Linked DNA regions of Astyanax mexicanus. Each later gene encodes a partner of the first gene's protein in a complex. Links are inferred from orthologs where the notes say so. Each region holds a gene or a part of one and is shown on either strand. Other genes may lie near its edges.

Region 1 (8,098 bases):
CATTTCTACTAAGTGCATATTAGACAGCTTTAAATAAAATGTGAACTTGCAATATCACATCTGGAAATTGTGAAATGGAGAAATAAAACAAACATTGTATTTAGTGCGTCTTAACCCGTTTGGGAAAATTATTTAAGGATTTGTTTTTTTGGATAAACAAATTTAAGGCCTTTTAAGACTAAGTATTTACAGATATCCTGATTTTACAAGTTGTGCAAACAGAAGCAGATAGAGTGTTCGAGACAGAGATTACTTACCACCATGCCAATGGTGTTCTGTTGTCCCCCTGGGGACATTTCTAAGCAGTCATCCACCACCAGATTCATAAAGGGGTCAAATCCTCTGAGGATACCTTGGACATGCCGACCACCATTAAGCTTTACTAAACAAGAAAAGAGAGAAAAGAGGGAAATATTTATAAAAATGTATAAAAGTAATACAACATTCTAAAAAATAGTGTAAATAGATCATGTGTACAGAAGATACAAAACATCAGTGCAGTATGGGCAACACTATCCTTCCAATATAAAAATCTGCTTTAGACAAGCAATGTAATAATTAATGTAATATGCTTAATAACAAAACACATCAAAGTTAGTTGGATGCAACCTATATTATGTCTCCTAACATTAGATTATTTTCTACCTAGAAACATCACAATGGTAACTTGGGCACAGGGGCAGGTTAAGTGGAGATTTCAGGTCATGCATAGAAAGAATGTGGTATAAGCAACGATAGTGTTACTCTTTACAGTTTAAAATATGTGCATCCAGACTGACCTACGAATAAATCTTGTTACTGAGGATGGTAAATGCAATTGTTGTGGGTCAGGGTAAGGTTTTTCAGTTTAATTTTCTGACCAGTTGCAGACAAATGTGAAAGAACTTAAATATATGGACTGTTCCAATCATTTCAGAGTCCTCACCAAGGTTTGTCTGTTACACTGTGCACATTTAGTCCAGTTAGTCTTGATTAGTTTCACAACGCAGTTTAGTGACTGAACACACTAAAGAACTTTGTCTTTGATAATAAGAACATTCACAACAATCACAAACATGGGCTGTTATCCCCTATACTTTACACAGATAGTTTTGTAGACTGTGGTCAGTTCTACAAGTTGCTTTTCCAGGATTACATTCAGATTCCTTTATTTTATGTAATCTGTTGTACCCACACTGCTGGCTTGAGGCTAAATTCAAAAACTGAAAACGTAAAAGTGTAAAAACTTTTATTTATTTATTTTTTTCCACATTTGGTGTAGTGGAGAAGAAATGGGATTTTATCTATTTAAGTATATATATATATATATATATATATATATATAATTTCAGATTCAGCCTAACAATGAAAAACGTGACTTAAATGACACTCACATGACAGCTTCTTGTCCATAAACCTACAAAAAGGAAAACAAAGAGTTTAATAACAGACAGCGCATTTATGCTGAATCAACATTTTTAACCTCTGATGCCCTCAAACAATACTGACCGATATCAGAACTGATTTTTCAGTTTTACGTTGATTCAATGATAGTGTTATACTTAATGTTTGTATTGAAATTTATTAACATTAAATACATGGGTACAATACCAGTCAAATGTTTGGACACAATCATTCCCAATGTTTATCTTTATTTTGATTATCTTCTACATTGTAGATTAATACTAAAGCCATGAAAACAATCAAGGGACACATATAGGATCACATAGTAAACAGTAAAAGCAGCAACTATTGTTTAGCACCTCTAGGAAGTGCTTCAAGGCGCTGAAAAAACTATTCCAGGTGATTCTCCTCCCTTATGAAAACACTGAGATTAAAATACAAAGAGTATGCAGATCTGTCCTCAAAGATAAATGTGATACTTAGAAGAATCTAAAGTAGCACACATATTCTGTTTTATTTAACACATTTTTTGTTTACAGAATCATTCTGCGTGTGTTCCTGTATAGCTTTAATGTCTTCAATAGTAAATGTAAAATGTAAAAATTATAAAAACAAGAAAAATCCCATTGAATGAGAAGAGATGTTTGTAAACTTTTGACTGGTACTGTATATTTGTTTGTGTTCTATTCATACAGGTTGTAGTGTGTCTGGGAGTGTAGAACAGCTCCATCCATTCAAACGTTAATTCAATGTTCTCTGCTGTATGTTGAAGCTAATTAGGTTTATTGGGTCCGAATCTAAGCTTTAATTAAACTGTATGAGATTAATTAGAGTAGGATGTAAAGAGCTGCGGTGTTTCTATTGTCCGATCTTTTAGTTCAAATGGTTTTACTGGGGTTTACACTCAGCCTCTGCTACCGGGGTTGGTTAGCTTATCTATTAGCTTCAGGCTAAATGACCGCTAATTACAATACACAGCTACAGAAACCCAATGCTGAAAATAAATATATATGATATATCCCAGCTAGCGCTAATTCCGCCTGTTAGTACTCACTTCTTCAGCTCTGGAGGATGAGCTTTACTCATGTTTAATCAGCGCGGGATGTTCAGAAGCAGCAGAAGCAGCAACGGCGGAGAGATGAGCGTCGGAACTGCGCTAAAACACTGAAACACGCGCCTCACAGCGGAGGTGACGCTTCTCCCGGACTTCGGCTGCGGCCTGTACCGCCCCCTGCTGCAGCGGCGCCGCTATTACCACACACTGCCTCACCCACAGAAGCAGAAAACCCAGGACTTTAGAAACTGTATTAAAATACTTTTGGGGTAAAACCAGGAAATGAATAGCTTTACACAGCTAAAAATTAACCTCTGTGCAGCTAAAACTAAGGCTGGTTTAATTGTAGCCACGCAAAGCTTTAATTTTAAGTGCGTGGAGCTTTAATTTAAGACGTGTGAAGCTTTTAGGTCAGACTGTTGCATAGGTAGTAAAATTTACTGACTGTTAAAAATAAACTGTTGTGTTTAAGGTATAAGACAAGCGTGTGATTGGGGAGAGCATAAGGGGGGGGGGGGGGGCGGCTCGCTGTGTGTGTGTGTGGGGTGGATAGAAAAGAAGGCTCGCTGTGTGTGTGAGGTGGAGAGGGCGCAGGGTGTGTGTGTGTTCAGCCCGAGTGCTATTTTTAGCCTGTTAGCTAGTTAGCTCGCTAGCCTGTTGTTATTTTGGTGTGGTTGCAGCTGACTGTTTCAGCAATAAAGCATTGACTGTAAACGTCTTTCTCATTTATCCTTTCACCACATCCAGCCAGATGCTATAATATCTTTTTAAAAAAGGAAAGAAAAAAAATAAAACAGTGGACTGGAAATTGTAATGATTTAAGATTACTTGTTACTGAAAAAAAATGGTCAGACACTGAACACACAAACAATCTATACTGGAAGGACTAAACAAAGTCAATGAAATCTGACGTTATCATGTTGCCAATGGGAAAAAGTATCTAATCATGCTGTAGCCATGAGGGTGGGAGGCCCTGGAAACATCTCAAGAACAGGAACACCCCTGTCTACAGCTACTTTTATAATTTACTGAAGCCTTCAAAAAGTCTTCCTTGCAAACCTTTCAAAATACAAATGTACTGTCACACTTGTTAAATAGCTGTACTTACCAGATACTGTGACAAAAAAATAAATAAAAAATTACAGCACCTTTGCTGAAACCGACCATAGAAAATGCTGTTTTCAAGTTACTGCAATATTATAAAAGGTCTTGCACAAAATCTAATAATATTGATAATGAGAAATAGCAATGCTAATAATAATGCATGTATTAACACTAAATTTAAAAAATAATATTAAATGTCAATCATTTAAGCTGTAGTAAAACAAAATAAAATAAAAATCAGCACAAAATGTAACAGATATAGCCACTCACACTTAAAGAGCTTCCTTTTTCCAGTTGGTTTATGCGATAAAACCAGAGACCTTATTAATGAGGAGACAGGCCACTGACCACTATATGAATAGGATTTATTGTAACGCTAACCATGGCGCCTGTTTATGAATAAAGTCCCACCCTTATGTAAAAAGAATCAGTGTTTTTGTGCAGAATTTTAAAAGTAATGTTAAATGATGTAAAAAAAAATGGATTAGAGTATTTTGGTCTATCACCACCCAAACCTGGTCATTGTGACGTAAACTCCGAATTTCCATTCCTATTTTAAATACACTAAATGTACAAAAGTATTTATGTACACTAAAGTACAAAATTATATTAAAGATGTAATGTTAAATACAGCCAGGATAATCAAGCTGAAAAAAGAGAGAGAAACTTATTGGTCTACTCAGAAATATATTTTTGTAGTTTTATATTATCATGAGGAAAAAGAATACACAGAAAACCAAACATTTGGTACATTAATGTTACATTTTTGGCTCCAGCCATAACAAAAATGAATGAAAAAAAAAAGCCAAAACCAAACAATACTTATGTAACGTAATCCCTGTGGACAAATCCACCCCAAAAAAAAAAATCACATCATGAGACACAGCAGTAAATATAAAGAGGTATTCAGTTTCTTTTTGCCCATAATTTCAGGGTTCACGATGATATGAAAACATGATAAATGAAGAGTTTAGGAATATAATGCTTTCCACAATAATTTAACTGCATAAGGTTGCTGCAAAGATGCTGTAAACCACTGTCCAGAACACAGGACCTAAACTTGGCCCAAATAATAGCAGTGGACTTAGTCTGGCTCAACTGACCCATGGTCCAGTTCATTCAGACCAATTACAGGTAGTTGAGTCAAACTATCGTCACCCAATAAACAACAGAAGAAGAAGTATTGAAGAAGTGTTGTGCCAAAATCTGACTTCTTGTCCAGACATGTCATGCCGCAGTATGGGTACAACAGATTATGCTGGTGATGCCTGTATCATAACTGTAGATTAACCCTTTTTTATAAACAGAAATAAATGGAATATGAGGGGAATCTCTTACAACCATTCTCCTATATGGCATGCCTGCACTCGAAAGAAAGTCAATTTATAGTGGGGGCAGCATTTAGCACAACTCCGGGAAAGACAACTAACATAACTAAATGGACAGAATACAATGTAAGAAACACACCAACCTTGGCGTGAAAACGCCCTACACTGTAACAGCACTTGAACATGCTGAAACAAGGCACTACTTAAGATGTGCATGGTAAGGCACAGAGGTAAAATCGGCAATGTGAAAGACATTTCAGGTTTGCGTGTGTTCTATATATGTACAGGATATAACTATTAAACAGAAATACAGATCATCGCTAACAAAAGCTATAAAAAAGCATATAATCAACCACGAAAAAGTTGTCAATCGAAAAGGATAAAAAAAAAATGCAGTCCTACACAATGACTGTAGAAAAACAGACACTGTGGTGCTATTCCCTTCCATTCTACATAAATAATGACAAGAGCATCCTCCATTGTGTCAAACTTGCAACCAGAGTCAAGGGGTGGGACCAAACTCGCCTACTCAAGTATCTCAGACTGCCTTCATTGAGATCACAGCACAGACTAAAGAACAAAAAGCAAAAAGGGTTTTGTAGAACCCCAGTTTAAACAGTAAGTGTAGTATTCCAGTGGTAAACGGGAAGCTTTTGTATTTTATTACCAAACAATTTCCATTACAGCACCAGAGCTTAGCTCAGTTTCATTCTGTTGACTACTGAGACAAAGCGAAGATACTACAGCTACTAAAAGTCTTTAGAGGAGGAAAATTTAATGGAAGACCTTGGCGCGGCTGTTTCTGTCATTGAAACGTACAGGGATGGATGGATCTACGCTGCACCATATCTCTGGAGGTGTTAGACCTATGATGACTTCATATTTCACAAATGTTGCCCTGTCCATGCTTTTATACAGTCATTGCTCCTACAATAAAATCCTCAAATTTAGTAGTACCACACCAACAGAACTATGTTAATCAAATTCAACAACTATCAACAGCAGAAAGAAATCGTTCATGTTATTCGACAGTGTACAGTTTTTACATTCAGCCTGTGTATTCAGTGAACATGAGTGGCTTTGGTAAATCACAGCAAAAAAGCATACATTCATCATTCATCATTTAGAAATGTTGTTTGGCAATCTCTTAACATAACACAAACTGTTCGAAACTTAATGTCAAAGGAAAAAACAAGACAACTCAAGTATTCTGGGTGTAAAAGCCCTTTCACACTGAGTCCAATATGTTTGGACTAACGAAGCATAGCTAGCCTCACTACTATACTATAGCTTCCCACACTAATGAGTTAGATGTTCCCTTAATAATGATTACTTATGTGGAGAAGAAGAGAGCAGAAGTGGACAGAGAGCAGAGAAACAGAAGAAAGGTTTACATATATGACAGTTGTGGAATTTCTGCATTGTCAGATGTGTTAAAATCAGGCAGACCTATCAGATATAAGGTCTGTTGATTTTATACTCTGATCAATGTGCTAATTATGAAAAGGCAGAAGATAATGGAAATATGTGATGCTAATGCTTGGTAATAAACTACAGCTTCCCTAGTTAATGAGCTATAGCTTCCCTCATTAAAGAACAACAGCTTCCCTTGCTAATGAGAACTTGTGAGTGAAACAGAAAGAGTAGACATTTATCTGAAAGAGCTAGAAAGAGCTGTGGAGTATGAGCCCTGTTTGCACATTTGCATATGTGAGCTCCATGTGTATCCAAAAATATGTACTCTGTGTGAAAGGGCCTTAATTCTGACTAGATGTTACTTTGTGCCTTTTCAATCACTAAGTTGGGCATCATCATCTTTCTCATCATCATTGCTGCAATAAAAGTGTGTTTGGCAGTGCTGCAGAAAAGTATCCAGGTCCACATATGCCTCCTTACATGGCACACAGTGATAGACTCTATTCACAGAAGACCCTGCAATCTGAGGTAAAGCAATCCCACCAGTACACACGCTGCAGTGGTTTGGGGTGTGTGTGGACTGGTGGATGTCTTCATGGTGTAGCAGGGCAGACTTGGTCGTAAAGACCTCTTCACACGATGGGCAAGGGAACTCTCCGTCTTCATCTTCGTCTTCATCCTCATCTTCATCCTTATCCTGAGTACGAGCATCTTCCTTGTCTGCGATCTCCTGCCTTCTGTTTTTTGAAACAAAGCACTTTTTCACATGTTTGTTTGTCTTCTTATCAACAGGTTTAGACTTCTTTGAGGCTCTGGAGGTTAGTTTAGATCCTTTGGTTGTTTTGAGGTCTTTGGAGGTTTCGCTGGCTTTTTGAGTTTTGTCTGATTTGGCGCTGTTTGAAAGGTGGGTCTGATAGTGGCTGCTGTAGCTCTTGAAGTGTGCCCAGCGGGTGAGATGGTGCAGGAACACTTTGCCACAGTGCAGGCACGGGTACGTCTCGCCTCTTTGCCTGCTTTGCCGTCGCTTCCTGTGGCTCCTCTGCTGTCTCTTTGTGGAAGTCTTTCGCCGGTGCTCCTCTTTCCTGTGCCGGTACAGCATAGAGGTCTGAGGGAAAACCTTGTCACATGATCGACATGCAAATAACGTGCCTTTAGAACCTTGGACATGCTGCGTCACCTTCTTTTTGTTCTTTTTTACACTGTTTTGGTGATAAATGCGCTGATGGCAACTTAGACCCTGGGCAGTGCGGAATGTTTTATGGCATGAAGGACAAGTTACTGGCTTGTGATTGATCCCTGAAGTCGATGGTGGAATTGAAGCATAGGAGGGAGTGGGTGTGTCATCTGTAGACATGTGAGTCACAGTAGAAGGGGCTGGCTGACACCCTGCACCCTGCTGGTGGTACAGCAGCTCCTGCTTGTGGCTGAAGGCTTTTCCACACGGGGCGCAGGCATAGGGATTGCCGTCATGTTTGTTACGTCTATGGTTAAAATGGTAAGGCTGCTGCTTTGAACTACGAAGGCTGGAGACCTTAGCCGGACAGGAGGAGCATGTAGTGCCCTTCTGCAGCTTCCCTCTACACACCTGGCATGTTGAAGAGCTCTTATGACATCTGTGCATCTGAAGGGTAGAAGCCAGAGAGAACTTCTGGCCACAGTGCTGGCAGTGGTGTGGCTTACGCAGTGTGCGCTCTTTTTGCTGCTGCTGCTGACTGCAGGCCACGCTGGACATGTCTGAGGCGTGAATATGATCCTTGCCGCTGGCTTTACTGATGGATGGGCTGCTGGACTGCTGGGATTTTTGAGATCGTCC
Region 2 (7,164 bases), on another chromosome or scaffold:
ATGACAAAATTGAAACTGAAAAAGACTAATAACTCCAAGGCAGCAAAATGGAAGAAATGACCTGGAAAATGGGCAGCCAGACAAAAAGCGCCCCTGAAGCGGCTGCTGGTCCAGCACACTTCATAACCTTCACAGGGCCAGGTGCCAAACACCTCCCGAGATAAGAAATATGACAATAACTCCCTTAAGCATCACTTAAGTGCACAAACGTCCTAAATTTAACCATCCACTATCTTTTTTCCAGTCTTTACCAAACTGATCCACATGTAGCACATCATTTTGTGACTGTAAATTTAAACACACTATGAAGGAGACTTTTCTATGATTCTATGAACAAAACATATAAGTGTGTAATGTTGAAACATGTTAAAAGTTAAATGCATTTAGCTTTTACTTGAGAAGTCAGTTTGCAGTACAAAAAAACAAACAGTATTGTTTTAAAGCAATTTCAGCTTTGTTAAAACACAACATGGATACATTTAGTATTGGTTTTTTTTCCCCCTCATTTTCTTCCGAATTTACACGGCCAATTACCCAACCCACTCATTAGGACTCCCCCTATCATTAGTAATGAATACACCATGAGTCTGCTTCTTTTCGAGCTGCTGCTGATGCAGCATTGCCGAGCAGCCAGCGCGCTCGGAGGACAGCGCAGCTTCTCGGTTCCGGAACATCAGCTCACAGACGCCCTGTGCTGCAGACCATTACAGTCCATTATTAAAATGACCATACATATTATATGTGTTTTCTTTGTGTTCTATAGTGTTGTGTAGAATCCTAAATAGAACCTTTTGGATGAAATGAACGAAGTGTTTTGCTTGGGGAAAACTGAACAATGTAGTCCAACAAAAGAACCCAATGCCATCACTAAAGAACGGGAGTAGCAGCTTAATGGTTGGGTACTGCTTTTCCTCTTAAAGGACAAGAGCAGACTGCCATTAGAGTTGGACTGAGAACAAGTGTTCTCGAGAACAATAGCAGTAGGCCAATCACAGATACCAATCAAACCTGGTAATGAATCATCATACAGCACCTTTCGCAATGTTAAACCAGCAAAGAGTAAACATGCCTCCAACCCCTTCTGCAGGATTTATCACCAATTACTAGAAACGTTGGGTTGAAGTAATTGCTGCTTGAGGGGGTCACAAGATGTTTAATGCTGGGTAATTTTTCTTAATTTATAAATGCAAAGACTTAAACATACATTGTTTATCTTTAATTTGCTTTATTTCATATCTTATTTATTTTATATTATCTTGGTTTATATGATCTATTATATATGGTTTGGTATTTATATTTTATACATCCTATCATTATTATTTAAACTCTCAGTTTCCCCTGTATATCAAGTTTAAGGACCTAATTGTCAATCTTTGCAAGAGCAAAGTATTTGTTCAAGAACTTGAGTTGAGTAGTGAATGGTTGTGTTTATGAAGTTACATGTAGTTAAATTTCCCTCTTTTTTTCAATTTGTAACAAAATTCAGTTGGATTGTAACATTTGCCTATCACGATAAATTAAATTATCAACTTATCAATACAATAAACATTACAAAAAACATTATTGTTTGTACACATGTATGACAGTGTATATATGTATAATGGTCTTAAAATGATAAAATTGTTTATCACAAACATTTTTGGGACCACATATGGTTCACAAAGAAAATCGTATCCTGACAGGGCTATAAAAAAGTTTTACCTCCAATTTTCTACTTACAAATTTAGACTCAAACGGTCAGACTCAAAACTGAACTGTTAAACGTTACACTGAATAAAATTACCTTTAGGCTTTGTTTATTTTGGTTACTCCAATTCAATAGAGTAGGGGTGTGCCATATCGTATCGTACGCAATAATACCGCCACAATTTTTCGATATTGTGAGCGATATTATACCCTGAAATATCGTGCCATATCACCCACCCCCAATTATCACATCAAGGTACAACTTTTATGCTGTTTTTAGCAAAAGAAAAAAAATCACACTGTTCTCATTTCCATTTTATATCTACTAGAGACAGATTATATCTGTCCAGTATCATTTATTTTACTTTAATCCTGGACATATGGAGATATGTAGAACACATTATTAGTACAATGACATTCTGGATTAATTTTGGATTCTGGAGTAATTTTTGGTATTTTTTAAAATCTCAGTTAATGGTGTGCCATATCATATCACATGCAATAAAATAAATAATATTCATTTTCGTGCACTAGTGTAGTAGTTCTTGACATCATTTGAATCATGAATTTTTATTCAGTATTTCGTCATATCGCCAAGAGCATCGTTATCGCGAAAATACCATGAAATATCGTGATATTATTTTAGGGCCATATCGCCCACCCCTACAATAGAGGCTGTATATGCGTTTCTTGCCAGTCTTTACAGCAAGTTAACAGCAAAAATAGGTGTTAGTAAATGATTGTAAAATTACAGAGAGATCACAGCGTATTACTTTATAATAAGAATAGTAATTAATATTTTACAGCTTTCGTAGAGTAAGTTTTGGCCTAAATAAATTCACAATAACTTTGTAAATATTCTTAAAAAAAAAACAAAAAAACATTAACTTTAACGTATGAATAATAACCAAAATAAGAAAGCAAATGAAGTCCATTGCCCAGATGCCCTTATTCTTCTTTTGGTCAGTTAAACTCTGGATGCGGTCGCAATAAATCCGCTCAGCAGCAGCAGCAGAGTAATAAATCTATATTTTATACCTAAACTCCTAATAGCTAAATATCCTAAGAAACTCTGACTCACAATATACACTGCGGCAGCGCCGAGCTCTCCATTATCTCAGCTTAGCATTAGCTCAGCGGCTAAACACGGTCTATTTAACGACATAACATTTAAAACAGGAGATTAAAATCATACCTGGTTGCAGAAATAACCGCTGTGTTGTCTTATCTCACAGTTCTTCCGTTAAAAGTAGATGTTTCGCCTTTATCTCTAAAGTTTCAGAGCTGTTTAGAGATGAAGCGAAAGCTACGAAATGAAGCAGTGCGGGGAGGAACCAGTAACTCTTAAAACGCGCCGAGGTGCAACACAGATCACCCTCCGACAGTTCCGCCGCTCTCCCCGTGTCTCCTCCCACTGCATAAACAATCCGCTATATTATAGTTTCTACAAACAGATTAAATATTCAACACATATTAAGCTACTGTACATATTACAGCTAAACTCACTGCTTACAAAATGTAAATAGGCAAAAAAAGATGAACAATTACATGTATTATTTAGTATTTGCACTACTGTTATTTACCATTTTTACTGTCATTCCATCTCGATCACCATCAATATTGCACTATTGTCTTACGTATGTTTATTGTGTCTTGCTGTATTGAACATATAGTGTCTCCCACTCTTTTATATTATAATTATATATCTATTTTTACTTATTTACTTATATTTATATATCTATTCCTCCCCCACACCACTGCACCTTGTTTTTGTCTCATGTATGTCTATTTGTGTCCCTGCTGTATTGTACACATAGTGTCTCCCATTCTTTCTTTTATTTTATCTATTATCTGTACTTGCTGTAAAATTGGGAAGGAGAGTAACGTAATTTCAATTCTCTGTATGTCCTGTACATATGCAGTATTGACAATAAAACTACTTGACTTGACTTGACTTGTTATGTTTAGTTTTGTACTTAATAACTGTAATATTTGTTGTAGCTTACATGAAACGTACACAATATAAAACATAAAATACAGAATACAGTCAAAAGTCAGGACACGCCTTCTTATTCAATGTTTTTATTTATTTATTTTTTTTGTTTATTCATTTTCTACAATGTAGATTAATATTAAAGACATAAAAACAATCAAGAGACACATATGGAATTAGGTAGTAAACAAAAAAAAGTGGCATAAAATCCCCTGACATAAACCCAACTTTACTTTTGTACTGTATACATGTAATATTTTTTTATACATAAAAAGTAAACAATATAAAACAAAATACAGGATGCATTTATTTATTTATTTATCTTCTACAATGTAGATTAATGTTAAAGACATTAAAACAATTAAGGAACACATATGAATTTATGTAGTAAACAAAAAAAGTGTTTGTTCTCCACAATCCCCTGACCTAAACCTGATCAGCTGAGATGGGTAAAAAACGTGTGAAAGAAAAAAAATAAAGCAGCAATTATTTTTCAGCACCTCATAAAGACACTGAAATTTAAATACCAAGAGTGTGGCACTTAAAATAATCTAAAGTATAAAACATATTCTGGTTTGTTAAACTTCTTTTTACTAAATAATTCTGCATGTGCTCCTGTAAAGCTTTAATATAGTATTCAATATTAAATTTAAAATGAATGTAAAAATATCATAAAAAAGGAAGAAAACACATTAAATGAGAAAAGGTTTGTGCACACTTTTGAATGGTGCTGTATATGCACTATTACTACAGGATATGTAAGATAGAGAGCTTACATATTGCTATATACAGTATTATATTATATTATATTATATTATATTATATTATATTATATTATATTATTAACTGCATTTTTATTCATATCTACACAATCTACAAGATTTCCTTTATTGTGAAAAGTACATTGAGCTGCAATGTGGTTCAGTAAGCTCTTGTTATTTGTAACAGATTTTGCAACAACAATGGAGCACATGTTATAGACACTTATAGTTCTTGTGTTTTTGTTTAAAATGAGAGTTTGTGACATCATGTTTGATACATATCAAGTAAGTAAAGCAACTTCAGAGTTATTATGAAAATAGCAGAGAACAGACTGAGAGGAGTTAATAATATTATATTATTTAATAATGTATATATTCTAGGGGTAACTAAGGAGGCAAAATGGGCTGAATGTTAGTATTTTTTACCTACATTTAAACAAATATAGTGAAAACAGTGTGTGTAACACAGCGTACACTGCACTATATCCTTTTATCGTTTTGTTTTCTCTGCACTTCAGGCTGAAGAGTGAGGTTATAAATGTGCTCACTGGGTTTTTACTTTGTTTAGCTGCTGGCACAAAGCAAACCGTGGCTCTTTGCCATGGATGAATTCCGGCCACATTTGTTTACCTCAGACTTTATTGTCTGAATCAGATTGGCCCTGTATTTTATCAGTCTCTGCAGGAGTACCTTTAAACCTAAAAATGCTGAAATAGTCAAAGCTGGAGACTTCTCTATATTTAATTCAGTTTCAGTCAAGACTGACATCAAGGAGATGTTTTTGCTGCTTTATTAACAAGCAGAAAATATTTATCACATACGTTTAATGGAAATACACAAAAGCCTCAAAATGAAAACATAATATTAGATGTTTTACTATAAAAAGTCCATCCTTACCTTCATTACAGTTTTTACTTTTTAGACCCACCTTACACTGTATGTTTAGTTTTAAATGTTTTAAATGGAGCATTTTCTGCAGCTCAGCTTCTCACATTCAGGTCACTGAGGTCTGGACGCATTGTTCTGAGAACAGCTTTAACAGTTTGATTTAATCAAATGTTCTTTTTCTTTATATATTTTTTTCTTTTTAATTTTCTCACATACAGCTTGTTCACCTCCACCTCCATCCTTTCATCTTCTCACAGATGAAGTACAGACACAAACAACTGTTGTTGTTTTTGATTTCATCTGCTCTCTAACAGATGAAAGCTTTAGATGTGTATATGCTGGGGGACTTATTTTAACCTCATTAAATATACAGTATATGGCCAAATACTGTGACATGAGTCATGGGATAGCAGTATATACATTGATAAGTAGTGCTACTTCAGTGGACAGCTTGGGACCTTCCATAATTGTAATAGTTGCGAGGTGTTACCTTGTCAGTGTCCATGTGAAGAGAAAAGTGGAAGAAATCACATCCACATTCAGTGCAGTAGACCCCACACACATTTCTCACAGGCCAGTGCAGCATTCTTTAGCTTTCAAAATAATAATGGGACAGAATATTCATTCCTGTCTCATGAACTTTGGCATGACCTCAGTGTGTTTGTGGACACCTCTTCTAATAAATGCATTCAGTTGAAGTACTTTAGTTTAAATAGTGTAGGATTATAAAGCTACCAGCATTGAGCTATTGAGCAGTGGAATTGTGTTTGGGAATCTCTGGATTAATCCAATACTTTTGCAATGAGTTGCTTAATGCAACCAAAACCTCACAGCAGTGCTACATACAAATCTAGTAGAAATACTTTCCTGGACAGCAGAGACAGTTAGTCCAACAAAAGCAGGATAAACTGTTTTAATACGCCTGATTTCAGGAGAAACAATGCATGAGCTAGGGTTGCAATATTTTATATTATCCCTCTATGGCATGTTTTTTGGATGTTTGGATTATTTTTTGGATTATAATTTTTTGGATTATTACACTGTTCGTTCAGTTTTTTAATCATTCTTTTTCATATTTATGGCTAATTTGTTTTCATTTACTCATTAAAAACAGTGTTTTTTTATTTGCTGCCTCAGGGCAACAATACGCTGCTCAACCACAACCAAGGCCGTTACACTAAATCAGCGGTTCCTAAATGCTCTGATTGATATATCAAGAGAGATCAACAAAACCTACCAACAAAGAAAAATATCATGCAATAGAGGATTGACATATAGTGTATAATCAGAACAATACATCATTATATCTGTTTTATCTGGTGTGTTTTACTGCCTCAACACTAAACCGAACCTCCATCTGCAGGGTTGTCTGAAACAGGCCTCAGCCTGATGGGCCCACTGGGTTTATCTATTAGGCACAGCAGTTACAGCTCATCAAGTGTTGTCTTGTCTTTGGGGGCGTAATGTCTGAGGGCAAATCTGATTTCCATCCTGATGAGATGAGTCTGCCTGTCTTTCGCCAATCCTGCTTTCATTCTTCTAGTGAAGAGGGATGTTTACATGCACAACATGTTGTTAAGATTCCTCTCATAAGAAAAGCCATTTATTAAACTTAATAAAACACCGGCAAAAATAAACGTGATGCCTATTACACTAATGACAAGCATAGGAGCCTTCACTGTGTGAGACAGAGAGATAGAGGAAACAGTTCCAAGAGGAATGAGTATCAAAAAGGAGCCATTTTCAGGGACATTTTTCATCTGAATGGCTTTCCTCTCTCATTAATGCAATTTAGAGGAAATGAAAGAATGCATTTCATTAGCGCCACAGAAAGCC

What was found.
Region 2: snrpg (region 1) and sf3b5 share a complex: the UniProt entries of both Homo sapiens proteins name them as parts of the minor spliceosome. The link is inferred for Astyanax mexicanus from reciprocal best matches to the Homo sapiens genes SNRPG and SF3B5.

What each region holds. Positions count from the first base shown.
Region 1 is NC_064420.1:6,264,241-6,272,338, reverse strand, and holds the start of snrpg (small nuclear ribonucleoprotein G), read right to left. Parts: upstream 3,025-8,098; 5' UTR 2,470-3,024; coding exon 2,438-2,469; intron 1,397-2,437; coding exon 1,374-1,396; intron 383-1,373; coding exon 258-382; intron 1-257. Other genes in the region: si:ch211-148l7.4 (oocyte zinc finger protein XlCOF6), read right to left, coding at 6,659-8,098. UniProt on the Homo sapiens protein: Plays a role in pre-mRNA splicing as a core component of the spliceosomal U1, U2, U4 and U5 small nuclear ribonucleoproteins (snRNPs), the building blocks of the spliceosome.
Region 2 is NC_064414.1:43,717,251-43,724,414, reverse strand, and holds the start of sf3b5 (splicing factor 3B subunit 5), read right to left. Parts: upstream 3,085-7,164; 5' UTR 2,882-3,084; intron 1-2,881. UniProt on the Homo sapiens protein: Component of the 17S U2 SnRNP complex of the spliceosome, a large ribonucleoprotein complex that removes introns from transcribed pre-mRNAs.